Linked DNA regions of Mus musculus: regions 2, 3 and 4 are each reported to be linked to region 1. Evidence: microRNA targets listed by miRTarBase, many of them from high-throughput screens and not tested one by one. Region 1 holds a microRNA gene; each other region holds the end of a gene's coding sequence.

The links. The annotated mature microRNA mmu-miR-181c-5p reads AACAUUCAACCUGUCGGUGAGU and lies in region 1 at 3,263-3,284, shown strand. An mRNA with a match to its seed (bases 2 to 7 or 8) in the 3' UTR can be bound and repressed. Matches are read on the target gene's strand: a 7mer-m8 pairs with bases 2 to 8, a 7mer-A1 pairs with bases 2 to 7 and ends in A, and an 8mer does both.
Region 2: miRTarBase lists Ikzf2 as a target of mmu-miR-181c-5p. The part of its 3' UTR that is shown has no 7-base or 8-base seed match.
Region 3: miRTarBase lists Arhgef15 as a target of mmu-miR-181c-5p. Seed matches in the 3' UTR shown: 7mer-m8 at 1,075-1,081.
Region 4: the mRNA of Smarca4 is a reported target of mmu-miR-181c-5p. Seed matches in the 3' UTR shown: 7mer-m8 at 1,842-1,848, 7mer-m8 at 1,905-1,911 and 7mer-m8 at 1,918-1,924.

The regions. Positions count from the first base shown.
Region 1 is chr8:84,177,060-84,182,207 of GRCm38, reverse strand. It overlaps Mir181c (microRNA 181c), which reads left to right and starts at 3,247; the gene lies at 3,247-3,335. It overlaps Mir181d (microRNA 181d), which reads left to right and starts at 3,421; the gene lies at 3,421-3,492.
Region 2 is chr1:69,534,142-69,539,289 of GRCm38, forward strand. Ikzf2 (IKAROS family zinc finger 2) reads right to left here. Exons shown (of 8, transcript NM_011770.4): 8 at 1-5,148. The coding sequence ends at 4,627. Among named protein-coding and RNA genes, the nearest start is that of Gm28497, 110 kb to the left of the region's middle.
Region 3 is chr11:68,939,968-68,945,115 of GRCm38, reverse strand. Arhgef15 (Rho guanine nucleotide exchange factor (GEF) 15) reads left to right here. Exons shown (of 16, transcript NM_177566.4): 16 at 287-1,962. The coding sequence ends at 438. Among named protein-coding and RNA genes, the nearest start is that of Gm51902, 12 kb to the right of the region's middle.
Region 4 is chr9:21,702,060-21,707,207 of GRCm38, forward strand. It overlaps Smarca4 (SWI/SNF related, matrix associated, actin dependent regulator of chromatin, subfamily a, member 4), which reads left to right. Exons shown (of 34, transcript NM_001174078.1): 34 at 877-2,171. The coding sequence ends at 909. Among named protein-coding and RNA genes, the nearest start is that of Gm26511, 19 kb to the right of the region's middle.

The DNA.
Region 1 (5,148 bases):
CATTCAACACCATGCCCAGCCTTTTTTTTTTTTTTTTTTTTTTTAAGATTGGCCTGCATCTGCCAGGTACAGAGGTGATAGGCTCTACAGCCACTGTGTCCAGCAACACTTATTGAGCAGTTATTATGGGACACACCTATGACTCACAGTGAATTCCCTGCCTTAACAGAGTTGGTATTTGAGTGGGAGACTGGCCCTGAAAGACACCATCCTTATCAGCTGACAGATTATAGTCACCCAGTTACTCTTGACAAACCCCGCATCCATACATACATCTGTGCACACATAGACCACAATTGGACACAATGAGCTTGACACACCCATCCACCTACAGTGTTGACATCACACATAAACAAGCCCATAGGATTGGCATATATACACTAATACACTAGTGGTGCCACCAACTATGGTACACCCCCCCCAGAGTCCCCTCCCCTCCCCCTGAGCTCCCTTTAGCAGCAGAGTAGTCTAGAGCAGACCTCTACTCCAATCCATTAACAGGTGTATATAGCAGACAAATGAGTTTGTGCAGACAGCCCACCGTGATGCATACCCAGGACCGCTCTGCTCCTTGTTAAAGAAGTTCAGAGGAGTAGCTGGAGTTCCCATCACTTCCTTGATCATAGCCCCTGACCCAGGAGAAGCCAGACCCCTCTCACTCATCTGCAGGCCTGGCCTCACATCCAGACAGCCTGGAAATTTGGGGCTTTTGGCCTACTTATAGTACATAGGAGCTCCTGTCTGAGCTCCCCCCCCCCCACTCCCCAGCCCCCTGAAAGACCCGAGTATCTGAGAAGCTCCTGAGATTAGGAGGGAAGGGTGGGTATCTCAGAAGTCGTGTAAGTATGGCAATAATAATAATTAATAATAATAATAAGGTCTAGACAACCTGGGCCACCAATGTGACCCTATGGAGATTCCCACCTGTCCTGTCACTATCCCCCCAATAATGGACTGTTTTCCAGGCCCTACCTACTCTTCCCTTCTGCCCAGCTGATTTACACACAGGTATTGCACACTGAACACTGCAGACCACAGGGCACAATATAGCAGACAGCTAACCCATCTTTTACTTGATGGTAGAGCTACCCCCATCTGGCTGGGATTGGCATTTCACCTCAACCTGACCTCTAGGACTTGCCAGCTGCTCAGAGAGACTGGGGCAGGCTCCACCTAGGTCATTCCCAAGCTGACTTCTGCGCTGCAGTGCCCCTGCTTCTGGACCTGGGGTTGGGGGATGGAAGGAGACAGTTTCCCACCCTTACACTAAGGGACTTCAAAGTCAGACCTCCCGCCCAAGCACTCTAGGCCGACCAACACATGGCGGGAAGTAAATGATCAGCCCCTAGCTGCAGGAATTCAGGTCAAGACTCTGATCCTCACACACCAGGGGGCTTGGCTGCCAAAAACCTCAAGGAGCAGCCCCGGGAAGAAGAAGGACAGACACATAGGGAGGGTGCAGGCAGACCCAGACAGTCGACCCCCGCTGACAAAGGGCAGGCAAGCGCAGACAGACACTGAGGGCGGGAAGCCCGCACCACGCCTGCAGACAAAGAGACAGGAGGGGGTGGGGCCTGGCGCCTCCGCCATGCCACGCCCCCCGCCAAACTCCCACAGGCAGGCTGTCCTGCCGTGAATACCCCTAACATACACCTCCCATTATGTAAAGGACAAAAATCAGAGTTCTGCAGGGGAAGTAAGCAAAGTGGACTTACAGAATAAAAGAGGGGTGTCTGCAAGATGGCCCGCATTGCCCAGAGTGTCCCGTGTGCCTCATAATCCTCCATTTTAGCTTTCAGGAACCCCCTAAAACTGTTCTGAACTGGCAGCAGGCCCTTCCCCAGGGGCACAGTGGTGGTCTGTGCAAAGCGCCTGTGACCAGCTCATCTTCATCTGACCAGTCTAGACCTTTATTTCCTCAGGGCTGAGAGCTACCAAAGCAGGAGACCTGCCTTTCCCATGCAGGACCTCTTAATCCATGGCCAGAAAGAGAGGGCCCCTGGGGCTGGGAATGTGACCAGTTACCGGGCCCTGGGCTGAGGAAGCAGGGTTAGGGCTCTACCGGGAGATAGTGCTTCCTAAGTCTTGCTGGAGCCAGGGGCCAGGTTTGGGTCTGTAGGTAGGGGTGGCCCTTAAAAGGAGCTGAACTTCTAGGGAACTTCTAGGGGTGCCCTGGAACCACACTGAGGTGCTAGGCAGGGGGTAGGACCTAAGCTCTCAGGTGATTGAGTTTGGCGTTAGATCTAAAAGGGATGGTTTGTAGGAGGGCCATAGGGAACCCTGTCAAAGGCCTGAATTGGAGGGCAAGTCTGCAGTGGTGGCCTGGTACTGCACAGGCCGGTGCTAACCCTGCAGGAGTTTCACACAAGCATACTACTACATTTAGTGTTCTTGATCTGTCTTGTGTGACTTCAGGAGATCCTTGAGGGTCACCTCTCCCTCTCTGAGGTGTTCTGAGCTCAGTTAAAGCAAAAGGGAAGCCTCCCCCCCCCCCCCCGCACTCCCCCTCCCGACCATTTAGAAGCCTTTGGGTGGGGGTGGGGTGTGTCTGTGTATAGCCTTCTTTCACAGCTCACTGCTCTACTGGGTAGGGCAGTGGTGGTCTCAGAAACCGTCAAACTAAGTTTAGTGACCATGGGAAGGTGGAAAAGTTTACAATATATTGAAAGCCTTATTTATCTCAAGTTTGCTGGAGAAGCCCTGTTACATTGTATAAAAGTAACTTGTTTACGGCTCAGTTGCCCTATGCCTAGCCCAGGCCCAGACCAGAACCTGATGACCTACCCGAGTTCCCAGAATGGTGGCTAGAAAATCCCCACTTTGTATTTTGGCCTCAGTCTTTCCAACTGACCAGTGAGGGGAATTTGTATCTCTCAGAAATGCTTTGGAGGATTTTATTTATCACAGTACTTAGCCCTCATCAGGAATTCACTCTTTAGGTCAGGTTAGCCTGTAACCTTACTAAGGCCATCCCAACCCTCAGACTCCAGAGTGCTGAGATATCAGTTGTGAATGCATCCCTTGAATATATATAGCACATGAATTGAGACAGGCACATTATCATCTCTGTTGCAGGGGCTGCGTTTTTTACATTATGGTTTGTATTTGTGCTGCTTCTTCTGAGTCTCCAAAAAAGAATAACTGATGGCTGATTTTGTGAGTCAAAGGGGACCCTGGTTTCTCTCTCGTCCCACATGCTCTCTGCCTTGCTGGCCTACTCTCCCAACTCCAGTTATCCAAGAACTTGCCAAGGGTTTGGGGGAACATTCAACCTGTCGGTGAGTTTGGGCAGCTCAGACAAACCATCGACCGTTGAGTGGACCCCGAGGCCTGGAACTGCCACCCGTCTACCCCATCCCCACCCTGTAGACCCGGGAGAGCCCCAGGCAGCATCCCCTGCCTCAGGCCACAGCAAAGGTCACAATTAACATTCATTGTTGTCGGTGGGTTGTGAGGAGGCAGCCAGACCCACCGGGGGATGAATGTCACTGTGGCTGGGCCAAACAACACCATCAGGGATGGGAAAGAGGATAGAACCCTTCAGATTTTGCTTGTCACTTACTCCCCTTGGGGAAATGGGACTGGTGTCTGGGATCTTGATGGGCTGATTGGAATTGGGAAATAAACCCTGGAGGGTTAGGTGTTGGGGAGATCCTAAATTGGGAGACTCTGGGGGGATGATGTTTGCTCAGTGATGCTCTGCAGTGGGCAAACTGGTAGATGAACATGTGACAGATACATGGGCAGGTGGATGGATGAGCGGGAATGAAGTCTGTCCTAGCAGTGGTGACTCCTGTTTCTTTTTGAGCTCAGGCTGCAGGCTCCTTTGACAGGTGTCAGATAAGGGGGCTGGCACCTGCTGGGGTATGCCAGTGCAGTTTGTCTTCCTGTGCTTGAAGGCTCTTTCCCCTCCTGCTGCATTCCTAGGTTGGGGTAACCTTGAGGCTGCTTAGCTAACTGGAGGGGGAAGAGTTGGGAACTCAACTTGGTAAGGTCTTAAACCCAGGACAAATGGCTGAGGTGCCTATTCCTTTATCAAAGTTGAAGCCGCAGGCTGCCATGTTCTCGCAGCATCCCTCAGTTCCTTTAACAGGGTCCTCCTTGTTGACATATCTTGTCCTTTACCCTGAACTTCTCTAGCCAAGGAACTAGGCTGGGCTTTCCCTTCCTGCAGCTTCTCTGGTTCATATATAGGCCAACCTTTTTGGTTAGATGCTCCTTTTTTCTTTTGTCTTCTTTTTCTTTTCTTTTTTTGGTTTTTTAAGGCAGGGTTTTTCTGTGTAGCCCTGGCTGTCCTGGAACTCACTTTGTAGACCAGGCTGGCCTCGAACTCAGAAATCCGCCTGCCTCAGCCTCCCGAGTGCTGGGATTAAAGGGGTACGCCACCACGCCCGGCTTGTCTTCTTTTTCTTGTTCCCCTTTCCTTCATGCCTGGCTTAGTCTGCTGGTCATGTCCACTCTGGAGACTCCTAGGTGTCCTTGCCCCTGCCCCTGCCTGTAATTGTCCCTTTTATCTACAAAAACAAACCACTTCTCTACCCACTAGGAGCATTCTTTGTTTGGTTTAGACTGCAGGACTGAGGTGCGTATTTTACACATCAAAGCAGACCTGGCCTCCAGGTTCTCCCAGCATTCCTCAGTCCCTACCTGGCATACTCTGCCCCCAACCTTGAACTTTCTAGCCCAGGAGCTGGACTGCCCTCCCCCGCCCCCCCAGAGGCTCTTCCCTATATAATTCAGACATTTTGTTTTCTTCTTCTCTTCTGTTTTCTTCTCTCTTCTTCTCTATCGTACTTACACTCTTTTTCTCTTTTCTTCTTTCTTTACTTTAATTCACACCTCAAGACTAAGTTCTCCAGGACATGAAAGTCTGTTAGTGAAACCAGAGCTTTGAGACCCAGTTGTCATTTTCCTACCCCCAGCCCCACTTCCACACTCAGGCCTCCTTCCTAGGAATTGGGATTTCTGCATTACCCCACCTAACAAGAAACTCTTGTTTCTTGTTTCTTGCACGCCTTTAATCCCAGTACTTGGGAGGCAGAGGCAGGCGAATTTCTGAGTTCAAGGCCAGCCTGGTCTACAGAGTGAGTTCCAGGACAGCCAGGGCTACACAGAGAAACCCTGTCTCAAAAAAACAAAACAAAAAAA
Region 2 (5,148 bases), not on the chromosome of region 1:
GACAGACGACCCCAGACTACACATCTGAGATGACATTTTGGAGACCAGTCACGGGACTAGTGTGCTGAGCTTTGTCTTGTTCAAGAGGAGACAATGATCTGCATTCCCACGCCATTTCACAAAACAACCACAGGTTAGAAGACAGAAGAGACAGAAGACCCAAGACTAGAGTAACATCAGTCGGGTATTTAAAACAAAGCAAAGCAATACTGTAATTACTGACTCCAAATTATACAAAGAAACCCCTGTGTGATGCAAAACATATTCTTCCTCAAGAAGAAATCAAAACATATAGCATAATCCAATTCATTGCTGATATGTGAGTCTACCTTCTATTTTGCCTCTACCATAGAATAATGTCCAGAAATATCATCAAGCTAAAAAGATTAAAATCTGGTTTCAAAGTTTGTTTTTTTTTTTTTTTTTTTTGTCACTTTTGCCAGCTCAGCTAAAAGTCTGGAAATTCTTTTAGCAGTTTTTTTCTTCTTCTTCTAAGAACACAAAGGTGAATTAGAGAGTACTTAGATTTTATGTGATTTTTTTTTTTCTTAAAAAATACACAGTAAAAGTGTGGTAGAGCTAAAGAGCTAACCAACACTCTCAATGCATTTTTAAAAGGCACCAATATAAAATTTTATAAGTATTTAATACATTAAGTTCAGGGTTTAAGAGACCAGTTACTGTATATTTTAATTATTTTGCAGAAACTGGAAGACTAAAACATTTATAAAATAACTTTTATATATACAAAGTTTCAATTCATCCCTCACTTTTTTCCCCTTTTGGATTTGGGGGAGCTTTTGCTGTAGAATAATTATACAGACAGTAGTTATTAAAATAACATGAAGTACAACTGACGATCACCACCAATCTACAATTTCAAGGCTAAGACAGTATGTGGCAGGTGACTTGGACAGTGTAAGGCGCAGTCCTGAATCTAGGGGCAGACAGCTCTCCTTGTCCTCTCCAGCCTCTTCCATGAATCTTTCTACCCTAACTTGTCATTTAGGAGAGAAGATGAAGGTTTGGAAAGACCAAACTTGTGAGGTGTGCAACTGGGTCAGAGAAGCACAAACACAAGCCAAGGTTGCTAAATTACTTCCTGCAACTTCTTCCTCTCACAAAAAAAATCTATATTTCTTCAAATATTCTCCAGTCAACTCAATATCTTTTCATTGTTTCATTGTTTTTTGCCTTGCTTTGTTTGTTTTTCTGGATGCAGACAATGGAGATTTGTGATTTAAATTGCCATTAGCCTTAAAGACACACTGACAACATGGGGCTTTCTTAATACAACCTGCTGAATTAGACCCAACTGCTGGCGTAGTAACTGTACTGTACTTCTAACTCTAAGCTTTTGTAATACAACTGGCAATGCTAATTGCTTCTTTTCTGTGAATTTTCATTAAAAGAATGTGCAATATGCATGTGCATGCAAACTGTACTGCATTCAAACACTGACCTGTATGTATGCCAGCCAGGCAGCCAACTTCATTCTAAATCTTAATGGTTGGCCCTCACATCCCCATTTTATCCAGAGAATTATTAACGGAATGTTTGAATGACAGTGTTTCACACTTCCCTCTACCGCTCATTGGGCTGGCGGCTCTCACTGTTCTAAAAAGCCTTTATAACAAGCAATCAATCACTACTATAGAGACGCAGCATGTTTCTCCAGAAGGAACTGGTGATAAAAAAAAAAAAATCTGGGCAAAATTAGGGCAGAGCCATCTGATAAATTCCTGACAAACTGGAAAACACAGAGGATAACCCATTTTCGTGCCCCTCAAATTCTCTCTCAACTGTAAAATGTCACCTAAATAAACTGGTCTTGTAACGGTTATGTAAATTTGATTTATTTGGTATCTGGCCTTCATACCTATTTTTAGGTGCTACCATGTCTCCTATTCTCTTTGGTGAAAAAGAGGCAAATACAGTCATTGAGGGTCCCTCAGACAGCACTATGTCCACAAAGTTTATCGTAACCCACAAATCTTGAATTCAGCTTGTCCCCATTTGTCCCTGTCACAGCAGAGCTATCTACTTTTTTTTCTGTATCTTGTGCCATGCAGCTGAAAAAGAAAGAAAAGGCTAAGTGCATATGTACAGCCAATCTACCCTTATAGTTCACGCCTTTGAGTACATCAGGTTTTCCAATAAAATGGGATCAGAAAGGCAGAGCACATCGGTACCACCTTCGTAGGGGAAGGACACAACTCTTCCAGTACACCTAAATTCAGTGTCATCCCAGGGCAGGTAGGTACATGATTGTTAATAGAGCAGGTGCTAGCAGAGAGAAGGAAGAGATAGCAGATGCCTGCAGGTGTTCACAAAGAGCCGAAAGGGACACACTGACAGACATCCAGATGCTTCCTCAAGTTGCAGTTAAAACAAAGAAGTCAGGAGCCTTAAACTTATTTACCTCATTCAGAAATAAATATCCTTTTCACTGTGATTCCAGAGTGTGTAGGGTAAGTGGGGATAGGGAAGGCATGATGAGATGTTTCATCCCCGAGGAAGCTATGTTTTTAAAATGTACCAAGGGATACAACCCCCCCCCCCCCCCCCGCCAAAAAAAAAAAAACAAAACCAACAATTGGCATTTGATATAGCTCTGGTTTGGTGCATTCTCTTACATGTTAAGGAACCAGTTGGATATTTCTCCAGAAAGAACTAAGATAAGGATTAGTAAAAGAGGCAAGTCAGAACTACCTCGCTCTGGCTATGGAAGAGCTAAGAAGTTCCTTAAATGATCAGACAGAAACCTGCAAAGCGAGTTCGGAGCACACTGCTCATCCGTGGGTACTTCTCCAGTCGTGGTACTTCCCAAGGCAAAGTGCAGTGACATGGTTTGGGCATGTCACTCAAGGGACTGTTGGAGCAGCGATGTGTTACCACACAGCAGACCTCTCAGCATTTACAAATGACTGTCAAATAATCCAGTTATGGTCAGGTTTGTTTTCCTCAAACACAAGCAGCAAGTTATGTCTGCCAAGTTGATTCCCCCGAATGCCTTGATAACAGTGTGCTCCAATCCTACCCACAAATGCAAGTCAAGTTCAGAAAAGAAAAAGAAAAAAAAAAAAAAAAACAATTGAGAACTCACAAAGATCAGATTAAAACCTGAGCATGAGATATGGAAGTATTTCTCACGTGCAAATTAAGAGACGACAGAAAATTCTTGACTAAGGGGTTGAGATTCATTTCTGATAAGGAACTCTAGAGTTGGATTTTTTGTTTTTATTTTTAAAGTGCGGGACCTTCTCCTAAAGATGGTCACATTCTCAACTCCGGGAAGGCTGAAAGAAAACTTTTTGCTTGTTTGTTTGACCTGCACTATGTTATTCAGGTAACAAAGAAGTTCCCTTTTGTCTCCAGCAAAGGTAGTAACTCTTATTACTGAAGAAATAGTGGAATAAATAGCCCTAGTAAATAAAAGACCTTCCAGGGTTCAAGTTACCACTTTCAGGTCCAATTAACAGTTGCTCCAAGATTTTAAAAGAAGCAACTGCTAGCAAGGCTTTTTAAGACCTTCTATTCCAAGAGTCAAAGAGGAATGGACTGTGGACAGAACACTGAGTGGTCACAGCTTGAAGAGAAATACCAGAAAAGGGTTCTTAGAGTGGGAATTCCCCCTACTGTTCGCCTAATTACACTTTTCTGCTGACTTGTTAACACTGATTGAATGCTGATAAAGTGACGATCGTAAACACACCTTTAGAAGCAAACATGTATACTAAGCTGCCATCATATTACAGCTTAAAAAAAAATCTCAAATTGTGAAAAGCAGAATTCTTCCTGGAAATTACTGACTGCCTCTTACCCACTCTTGAGACCATATGTTATTCTGAAAACTACATAAAAAATACTATTTGTTACAGGTGTTAAAAGTAAGGCTGCCAGGGTGTCTATAAAATGCCAGTCATCAAAACTATGGAAAAACAGTGCGCCAAGTTTAGAAAAATAAGATCAAAGGACCTCAGATGTATCGTAGCGGCCCTTGACTACCTGTAGTTTAAAATTTTTGCTATATGATACAGTGTAAAACATACTCAATTATAAATTCCGTAGGGGAGGTAAACACAGAACCCACAACAATTCAACTCATCCTAGTAGTTATGGAAAATAACATTGTTTTTGTGTTCCATGATCTCTAACGAACAGAAAATAAAATCGGTTTACATTTTGAAACTTCTTTGAGAGTAAAATGACTTAGACCATTTTAAATTGCCAAGCATCCTACCCAGAAAACTCTCAACTTTCCTGCCTTCTATCACAATCCTGAATATGAATGGCAGATCAGAATCTCTTGGATGAACCTCTATGAACTGAATGATCTCCTAAATTATGATAGGCCTTAACAAGGATGCATGGCTGCAATGAACTGCTTTAAATGCTCACGAAATAAACAAGCCAAGTTATCATTGAACATCCCATCCCTTTTCTTTTGTTTCTTCCTCATTGTAGTTAGGCAGAGCAAATGACATTTTGTCCACAAAATAAGAATTATAGACAGTGACAGCATCCAGAAGACAGCATGTCGCCATCCGAGGGAAGGTGGGACTGTAAGTGCAGTATTTCTTCATGTGCAGTTCTTCATAGGGGTCCCCTTTGGAATGAAAAGGCCTAGTGGAATGTGTGCTCCCCTCGAACAATGTGTGATGAAAATTCGTAGCGGTCCTGGCTTCTGTAGCCACAGATGTTGCATTCCAGTGGGTCCCGGTAGCCATGGCAACCCATGTGAATGGTGTACATGACATGGTCTAGAAAAAGGACTCGGCAGTGCTCACACTTGAAGGCCCTTATCTGTTCTCCTTCTCCATTGAAAACCTTATAGATGTCCTTCAGAGAGCCCTTGGGGGCCTTGGTAGCATCCAAAGCCTTGACATCCTCCTTCATGTAAGCTGGGCTTTGTTTCCTCTTGGGATTTAAGGCAGGGTTTCCTTGGTAGGACTGGCGGTCATCATGGCTACTTTCTGAGTCAGTAGAATCGAGGCAGCTATTGCTGGGCGAGGCCTCTCTTTCCTGGGGTCGACTCTTTGGTCTGATGAGAGAGATGGGGCCATCCATGTTGTTTTCGTGACTATCAGATGTTTCCCTGCTAATGGGTCTTTCTATCCTGTTTGGATGATAGACCTGAGAATAAGC
Region 3 (5,148 bases), not on the chromosome of region 1:
GGTCCTCTGGAAGAGCTCCAATTTCTCTTAACCACTGAGCCAGCTCTCAAGCTTAGAAGCTCTTCCAGTTGAGTGACGTGAGCAGTCACTGCAGGACCCAGCAGAGAAGTGACACAGACCCTCACGGATGTTGATAGCCTTTCCAGGAGCACTAGTGACTGAAGTTGAATGCTCTGGTCTTTTCCACTAATCCCCAGCCTGGGACCTGAGACCTGAGGATCCCCCTCCCTCATCCCCATCACCTGACCTCGGTCCTGCTCCACACAAACCTTTCTCCCCTCTTCAGGTTGGCTTAAGGGGCTTCCTGGAGCCTTCCCTGCCCAACTGGTGTGTGAAGTCACAGGAGAACACGAGAGGAGGAAGCATCTTCGCCAGCACCAGAAGCTCCTTGAGGCTGTAGGACCCTCTTCAGGCACTCCTGACACCCCTCAACCTTAAGGCAGGCTAGGGAGGAGCACAGATTGGGATACTGGCAGCAGCATGGGGAAGAAAAAGTCTATCCATCCATCTGTCCAACCGTCCAACCGTCCATCCATCCATCCATCCATCTACTTGCTGTCAGTGGAAACACTACCTCTAGAGGCAACCAATAGGGATAGAGCAGCTAATGAAACAAGACCATCTGAGCCCACGACAAGGAAGAATGGGGATGGCTCGAATGTGTTGCCAATGGAGACAGGGGATGAGTACAGAGTGGCCAAGGCTGAGGCCACGGCCAGAGGGTATCAAAGTATGTCCACAACCAAGGAAGATTAAGCAGGGGCATTGCATTGAGAAATGACGTCATTGAAGTAGTCCTGTAGACAACAGGGATGGGATGGGACCTATCCAGCCAGAGAAGACGGTGATTTGGGCTCAAGAGAGCAGTAGTCACCCTTGTTGGTTTTACAGAAGCCACTGGTCCTGCTTTTTGAGTATAGGAAGTATTAAATTAATCTAATACTTCTGTTTGAGGGCTACTTTCTTTGCCCATTTTAAACCACTTCCTTTCTTCTAGAAGAATCCAGAGTGCATCTCAGAGAATATGAGTGCATGTGTGTTCATGTATATATGTATCTAGGAAGGCAACTGTGCTGAATGTGGTGTGTGTGTGTGTGTGTGTGTGTGAGAGAGAGAGAGAGAGAGAGAGAGAGAGAGAGAGAACGCACCTCTCCCCTCTCCTGTTGGTGACTGAATACTTCCTTTCCTCTATCATCTCACATTTATCCTCTTATTTTCTCCAAAAAAAGCCATATGCCCTGAGATCTAAAAAAAGAGTACTGAGCATAGCTTGCCCAAGGACTGGGACCGTGAATGCAAGCCATGGATTCAGGGTCTCCCGGGTGTCTCTGGGTTCTATGACAGTTGAAAGCTGGTATTATGAAGCAGCTGGTGGCCCGCAAGGAAGGCACTGAGGACTAAGCCACTGGGATTTGAGATCCTCAGCAGTCTGTGGACCTCTTCCTGTCCCAGGCATTGACCTCTGTGATCCATGTCTGCTCTGTGTCATCTCCCGACTTGAATTGTCATCATGATGTCAGCCAGCCTCGGGCTGCAGAACAAGTTGGGTCCTGGGTCAGCTGGCAACCATCCTGATCTTCTTCTATCCTGATCCTCTCAGAAGCAGAAGGCTGAACCCAGGAGGGAGTAGAGAGCTGATGGTGTTACTCAGACTCAACCACGGTTTCTGCTAGAGAACCTGCCCTGTGTGATGCTGGAGCGGTGAAGGCAAAGGCAGTAGAATAGACAATTGCTGGGCTTGGGGCCCAGACCTGGGCAAAGGCTTTCTAAATCTTCAGGACTGTGCAATACTGTTCCTTCATGTATGACAACCTGCCCAGATGGAGACTGCTTAGGTGACTATGGGAGGGGTAATGAGTCTGGGGACTTGAAGGCAATAGGGCACTTTGTGTGTCCACAGCTTTCATCCAGCAAAGTGCCAGCCACATGGGAAACCCTCAATAAATGTTGCTGGAAAGAGCAGTGGTCTAAAAACACAGTTTTATGTGGGGGCCGGGTGCTGGATGCGCCAGTGCTAAGAACAGGTGTCGCCTCCACTGGAACTAGAGCTTAGAGAGTAGATACTAGGCCTGCCTGGAGTGTGTCAGCTCCTGCACAGCTTCTCAGGGGAGCCATGTTTGAAGTGGACCACAGGCGCTGCAGCTGGGGTTGTTGGAGGCTGGGGAAGAGGGCAGGGCAGGGTCACCGTGGTTGTAGCTGGTTAGAGGGTACAGTACAAAGTCAAAGGAACAGACCAGTCAAGTGTCTGATTCCAATCTGTGCCTGCTCATTGACCGCCTCTTATGTGCCAGGCACAGTTCTGGGAGATGAAAAAGATAGTGTAAAAAGCGCCCTTCACCTTAGAGGTCCTATACCAGTTTGAGTGCATTCTGAAATCAACACGTTAGTAGGTAGGATGAAGTTAGGACAAAGCGTTAGTTACAAAGAAAGTACACTCTCCAAAGGCGTGACAGATTGGTGTGGGGTGAGGGGAGACAGGGAGACCCTGGAGGAGATGACATCTGACCCAGGTGACAAGAAAGAAGCAGCTGTGGAATGAGACAAGGGGACTGTGGGCCAGGAGTTGTAGGTAGAAGCAGTGGAGACAGACCTGGTGTGTCTACACTGCTGCTTGGTGGGCGTTTCTCTCCACCACGCTCCCCCTTTGTCTCTAAAAACATTGTTTTTTGAGACATGGTCTTACTGCATAGCCCAGGATGGCCTCAGACTCTTTCAATCGTCCTGTCTCCAACTCCCAACTGCTGACGTTATAGGCATGAGCTGCCATATCAGCAGAGAGAACCCTTCCCCTCTTTAACATGAGATACAAACTTGAGGCTGGCAAGATGCCTCAGCAGGTAAAGATGCTTACCACCAAGCCTGACACCTGAGTTCAACCCCCGGAATCCATATGGTTTCCTATAGCTTAAGCTTCAGGTCTCCTGACTTGCACTGGAGGACCCTAGAAGTGGAGTCACATGGGCATATGTTTCTGCAAGATTTATAAATCAGGCCAGGTTTGGTAGCTCAAGCCTGTAATCGTAGGATGTGGGAGCCCGAGGTAGGAGGAGTACCATGAGTTTGAGATCAAGCTCATATACAGAGGGACACCCTGTCTCAAAAACAAACAAATAACAACCACAAAAAAATACAAAAAAAAAAAAAAAAAAAAAGCTGGAGATGGTTGTGTGTGCCTGCCTTTAATCCCAGTACTAGGGAGGCAGAGACAGGAGGATCTCTGTGAGTTTGAGGCCACTTTGATATGTATAGAGAATATCAGGCCAGCCCACAGACACACTGAGACCCTACCCCCAAAAACAAACAAAACAAAACAAAAAACAATTAGTTATTGAGGTCCAACTAAAGGAAGTCAAGTTGAGGAAACTTTTAGTTTTTTAGTGAGTATGGTAAGTAGACTTCAATGATTGCCAGCTCTGGCTACCCATGCCTTTATATAGCCATATTGCCTTTTGAATAGGCATTTAGTGTCAAGTGTGTGTGTGGGTTTGGGTGTGTGCATGCAGCCCAGCTGGCCTCAAACTTTCTGTGAGGTTGGCCTTGAACTCTCCATCTTTTTGCTCCCATCTCCCAAGTGTTGGGTTCTGGACCAACCACACCCAGCTTAGTAATTAGGTTCTCAGGAATGGCTAATGCGATAAGCTGAATGGCTGTTAACGGGTTAGCTGGTGAATGATGGATTTGGGAGTAGACTCTTTTCCTGTTGAGTCTTCACAGGAGAACCCGGATCCCGAGCCGTCTGCTAGACTCTGCTGGACATAACTGTGGCCATTTTGAGCTGCGTAATGGCTCAGATCTTATTTGTTTTGTGCATCTGAATCTTAGTAGGAGCTCAGGATGGCTCTGACCCTATGCTTTGGCCTTCTGAATACGAGGATTCCATACCTGTGCCACCATATCCCACAGGTTTGGATCTTAAATGTCCCCTGAAGGGCATGGATTGAAGGCTTAGTCAAGGTTAGCTGGTGGGAGAAACCTTTAAAAAGTGGAACCTAATAGAAGTTAGGGCACTGGGCTGAAGAGATGGCTCAGCTGTTAAGAGCACTGACTGCTCTTCCAAAGGTCCTGAGTTCAAATCCCAGCAATCACATGGTGGCTCACAACCATCCGTAATGAGATCAGATACCCTCTTCTGGTGTGTCTGAAGATAGCTACAGTATACTTAGATATAATAATAAATAATTTTTTTTTTTTTAAAGAAAGAAGAAGTAACCTGGGCACTGACAACCTTTGAAGGGAAGAGTGGAACCTTGGTGATTTTTTCTTTTGGTTCCTATCCAACATGAGGTTTTGCTCTGCAACCTCTGCTCTGCCACAGCCCTAGAGCACCAGGGCAAGCAAGCGTAGCTAGTGAGTTAAAATATAGCTTGCCTTGCCAGGCACGGGGGTGCACACCTTTAATCCCAGCACTCGAGAGGCAGAAGCGGAGGCAGCTGGATCTCTGTGAATATGAGGTCAGCCTGGTCCACAGAGTGAGTTCTAGGACAGCCCAGGCTACACAGAGAAACCCTGTCTCAAACAGACTAACTAATCAAGTAAATAAATGAAGCTTTCCTTAATAGTTAGTTTATTTGGATGCTGGGGTTGCACCATGGGAAGCCAAGCAAGGCAGGTCAATCACAGAATTGCTCCAAAGTAACCGAGTCTGCTTTCTTGGTAAATTATACACAGATACAAACAGCTAAGGCAATCTACGGAGTTGTATGACCTGCACCAGGAATGTGCTTCACTCTTCCTTTGGTTAAGGTGAACCAAATACATTTGATCTTGAATAAAAACACTTTGTCCTAACCAAAATACACACCCTCCCTCACAGTGATCTGCTTATTTTAGCTACTACTCAGAATCTGATTCTGTCAGCAAATCTTCCCTACCTCCCAATAAATTCCACTTTGTACAGAGTTAAATCTGTTGAATAAAATATTATATAGATCCTGGCAGCGGGTTTGCTACACACCTCAACGCTTTACATTCGAGAATGGAAGACCCACACGCACAGCCTTTATATTTTGACATGCTTTAATCAGCTCTATCCTAGGCCACTGCCCAACCTCCACGAAATGAATCCACCTCCTGCTAATAATCCCGAGTTATTACTTACTAAACTCTAAATTCTATCTTGGCTGCTCTGGACCCAGAGGGATCTCTCGG
Region 4 (5,148 bases), not on the chromosome of region 1:
AAGTTCCAGGCCAGCCAGGGCTATATAGAGACCCTAATTTTTTAGAGGGCTTTCTTGTTTATTTTGCCTGCATGTATGGATGTGTGCCACTGTGTGCCTGGTGATCGTGGCGGCTAGAAGAACGCATTGGATCCCCTGGAACTGGAGTTCCAGGGTGTTATGTGAACACCCACTATGTGGGTTCTCAGGAGTGAATTCGTGTCCTTTGTAAGAGCAGCCAGTTTTCTTAGCTATTGAGTCGTCTCTCCAACCCTAAAAATGACTCTTAATAAGATAATGGCTGCAGGCATAGTAGTAAACTCCCGTGATCCCAGGCCTTGGGAGGTAGAAGCCGGAAGATCAGGAGGCGTTCATGACCATCCTTGGTTGCCTAGCAAGTTTGAGGCCAGCCTGAGCTCTATTAGACCAAAATGGCAGTCAGAAGACATGTTCATACTCAAGAATGGCTATAATGAGTGGCTGCCTCTTATGGGGTTCCATGTTGGCCTGTCCCTACCATGGTGCAGGGCAAGGTCCAAGTTTTGATGCAGTTTTCTTTTTTTTTTTTTCAAAGATTCATTTATTTATTTATTATATGTAAGTATACTGTAGCTGTCTTCAGACACTCCAGAAGAGGGAGTCAGATCTCGTTAAGGATGGTTGTGAGCCACTATGTGGTTGCTGGGATTTGAACCCAGGACCTTTGGAAGAGTAATCAGTGCTCTTAACTGCTGAGTCGTCTTGCCAGCCTCCTTGATGCAGTTTTTTTTTTTTTGCCACAGTAAGATAATTTATCCCTTAAGGATCTAGGCCCTTCCACAGCATTGAGAACACCATGGACAAGGGAGAGTGCCTAGGCCGCAGCCTACTCACAAACTATTCCCCCTGTTCTTTCAGGACCGCTCAGGAAGTGGCAGTGAGGAAGACTGAACCAGACATTCCTGAGTCCTGACCCCGAGGCGCTCGTCCCAGCCAAGATGGAGTAGCCCTTAGCAGTGATGGGTAGCACCAGATGTAGTTTCGAACTTGGAGAACTGTACACATGCAATCTTCCACATTTTTAGGCAGAGAAGTATAGGCCTGTCTGTCGGCCCTGGCCTGGCCTCGAGTCTCTACCAGCATTAACTGTCTAGAGAGGGGACCTCCTGGGAGCACCATCCACCTCCCCAGGCCCCAGTCACTGTAGCTCAGTGGATGCATGCGCGTGCCGGCCGCTCCTTGTACTGTATCTTACTGGACAGGGCCAGCTCTCCAGGAGGCTCACAGGCCCAGCGGGTATGTCAGTGTCACTGGAGTCAGACAGTAATAAATTAAAGCAATGACAAGCCACCACTGGCTCCCTGGACTCCTTGCTGTCAGCAGTGGCTCCGGGGCCACAGAGAAGAAAGAAAGACTTTTAGGAACTGGGTCTAACTTATGGGCAAAGTACTTGCCTTGCCAGGTGTATGGGTTTTGCATTCCCATCACCCACACACCCTAAACAAGCCAAGTCAGTGAGCTTCAAGTTAGAGCCTCCACCTCAATGTGTACGTGGAAAGCAATCAAAGATGATGCCTAGCATCCACCTCTGGCCCTCATGTGCAGATGTACACACACTGAATTACATACACGGGACACACACATCCACACGGAGGCAGTCCATGACTTGCACTGGGGAGATGGTACCATAGGCGAAAGTGCCACAGGCACAGGGCCAGGCTAATTTAGTCCTGCAGTCCTGTGCTCTTAAGATGAAGGCACAAAGAGGAACCCCAGGCGCTCCAACTAGCATGCCAGGCAGTGACAAGACCCTGCTTCAAATGAATCAGAGCCCACATTCAGTATTGCCCTCTTACCCGATGCGATGCCCATGCCCTCACATATGAATGTGTATATATACATACATACGTAAAATAATTCTTTTTTAAATTATAGACATTTTTGTGTGAATGTTTTGCCTGAATGTGTGTGTGTGTGTGTGTGTGTGTGTGTGTGTGTGTGTGTGTGTATCAAGTACATTCCTAGAGCCTACAGAGGTCAAGGGAGGGCATTGGATCTGGAACTGGAGTCACATGAGGCTGTGAGCAACTGTGTGGGTTCCTGGGCCTTTGCAACAGCAGTTAGTACTCTTCACCACTGAGCCATTTCTCCAATCTCAAAAAGAAGCATTCTTTTAAATGAAGACTGAAATAAATAAGTAGGACTTGCCTTGGTTCTGTGCCTATAAGCCCCAGTTCTGCCTGCAGCCCTTTTGCCCTCCAGTTCTCCATTACCGCTCAGTCTTTGGCCATCCGTAGCTACCAGCTGCCTTGGGAGCCACAGTTGTGTGACAGCTCTAAGGCGAAAGGGGAAGTGTTGTACTCCAAGAGAAGTGTTGTACTCCACTCCAGTGGTGGAAGTTTGTCCCAAGGTCTTACAGCTCTGAAGAGAAAGGTCTCCTGGAAGTCTAGAGCCAAGGAATACCACAGAGACACACTGTACAACAAACCCCACAGGAGACTTCCCAGGAGGGAAAGATCCGAGAGTGTGGCAGCAGAGGCAAAGATCTCCGATTTCAAGGCCTGTATAGTGAATTCCAAGATTCATAGGGTTCATAGGCCCTGTCTCAAAATAACAAAAAATTTGTTCTGGGGCCAGGCATATAGTATACACCTTTAATCCCAGGAGGCAAAAGCTGGTGGATTTATTCATTTCTTTATTTTCGGTTTTTCAAGGTAGAGTTTCTCTTGTGTAGCCATGGCTGTCCTGGAACTCTGTGGAGACCAGTAGGCCTTGAACTCACAGAGATCACCTGCCTCTGCCTCTCAAGTGCTGGGATTAAAGTTCTACCAAGGCTGCTTTATATTGTTATGAGACAGTTTCACGTAGGCCAGGGTGACCTTAAACTTGGTATGGAGGTGCAGCTTGCTGTTAACTCATGATGATCCCAAATGCTGAGATTGCAGGCCTGTACCACCTAGCTAGTGCTCTTGAATTTATCTTCCAAGGCCAACCTGGTCTACAGAGTAAGTTTCAAGACAGCCTGGGCTATACAAGAAGGGAATACAGAGAAGCTGTCTTGGGGGAAAAATTAAAGAGTTCTAGGAGTCAGGCGGTGGTGGCGCACACCTTTAATCCCAGCACTTGGGTGGCAGAGGCAGGCAGATTTCTGAGTTCGAGGACAGCCAGGGCTACTCAGAGAAACCCTGTCTCAAAAAAACAAGAAAAAAAAAAAAAAAAAAAAAAAAGAGTTCTAGGGACTGGAGAGCAGTTAAGAGCACTGGGTACTCTTCCAGAGGATCTAAGTTCAATTCCCAGCACCCACACACAGGCTCACAACCATTTGTTCCTCCAGTCCTAGGAGGTTCAGTGCCCACTTCTTGCCTCGGGGTACTGCATGCATATAGCCCACAAGATATACATAGCAAAGCACATAAACTAAACATGAGTTCTACAGTCAGGCGGAGTGATGCATGCTTCCAGTCCCTGCAGGGGTGGGAAGATCTCTGCATTCAATAGTAGCTTAGTGTACATAGCAAGTACTGCATGATGAGAACTTGTCTCCAAATTCAAAAAAGTGTCCTGGGGACCAGAGAGCTAGCCTAGCAGTTACAGGTACTTGCTGCCAAGCCTGACAGGCTGAGTTTGCTTTGCAGAGTCCAGGTGGAGGAAGGAGAGATTCCACTCCCTCAGGTTGAATCTCTCTGGTGTCAGGTGTGCTATGCCTTTATGCCAGTTTCCTAGACCACCACAATTCAAAACACGTTTATTCATTATTATTTTATGTATATGAGTTAGCCTAGGAGTTCTTGAACTCTAAACACAGTTTTTTTAATGGAATGTAGTAAAATGTGGGTCTTGGGTTGGTTGGAGAGATGGCTCAGTAGCTAAGTACATTTGCTGTTCCTGCAGAGGACCCAGATTTGGTTTGCAGAGCTCACATGGCAGCTCACAGCACCAGGCACGCGCACATGGTACATGCAGGCTAACTCATATACGTAAAATAAAAATGACTAAATGGGCTTTGAATTGTAGTCCGGGCAGCAAGCTGTGTAAAGGCATAGAACGCACAGCCTGCCCAGTTGGTGAAGGCAACAATCCACTCCCATAAGTTTCTCCCCTTCACATATGAGCCCCCTACACACATTAAATACATCCATACATATGTGCATACATGTAAAAGTGAGCCCTTCACAGGGAAGGCAAAACAGACCAGAGTGGTTATTCATTATAAAGAGCAGCAAAGTCCAAAATCACCCCAACAGGCTCTATGTGACCTTTCGTCTCTTCTGTCAGAAGTATAGAGCAGATGGAAACCGTGGTGCAACCCTTTAATCCCAGCACTCAGGAGGCAGGCACACGCAGATCTCTGAGTCTGAGGCCAGCCTGGTTTACACAGCAAGTACCAGGATGGCCAGGGCTACGCAGAAACCCTGTCTAAAAAAAAAAAAAAAGAAAGAAAGAAAGAAAGGGAGAGAGAGAGGGAGAGAGATTATAGCTGCTGCTTCAGGATCAGAAAGCTCCCGTGTCTTTGAATTTCACTATAAACACCCATACATCCAGCTGTGCTGCACAACTGAATGGCTGGTTCGTGATGCCAGAATCTGTCCTTTCTCATCTGAGAGGCAAGAAGCTAGGATTGGGTTTAGAAGAAAGTGAAGTGACCTAATGCAGGCACCAGGTATACTTTGGATTGAGCATCACGTGCACAGCCAGGTGTCATAGGGCCATGGGCCATGGGGATGACAGACAGGTCAGAGTAGTAGTCCTAAACTGCCCTTTGCCTGAAGTTGGTGACGCCCCTTCCGGCCCCACCCCTGCTGGCTTATGATGGCCTTTTCCTCCCCCCTGCTGGCCCCACTCAGTACCTGAGCCTTCCAGATTGCTGAGTCTGAAGGTTTCTATCCATTTCACAGGTAGTCCAGGTGGGGGCCACCCCACAAGCTCCACCCAAAAGTCACATTCCAAACTACAGGGAAGTCCCCAGGTCCTTCTTCCCTTGAATCCCAGCAGATTTCTGCACTGTGTCATAGAAGACACAACCTGCTCGATTCGGATGAGCAGGGCTGTGTGCCACCCAGTGTGTAGAGCACTCAGCTTTCCTGGGATGCACTCCAGCATTCCATAAACCTGTCCTGTGATACCCACAGGCACCGCCCATCACACCACCACCCAACAAAAGCCCAGCTGTGCTGGTGCACGCCTTTAATC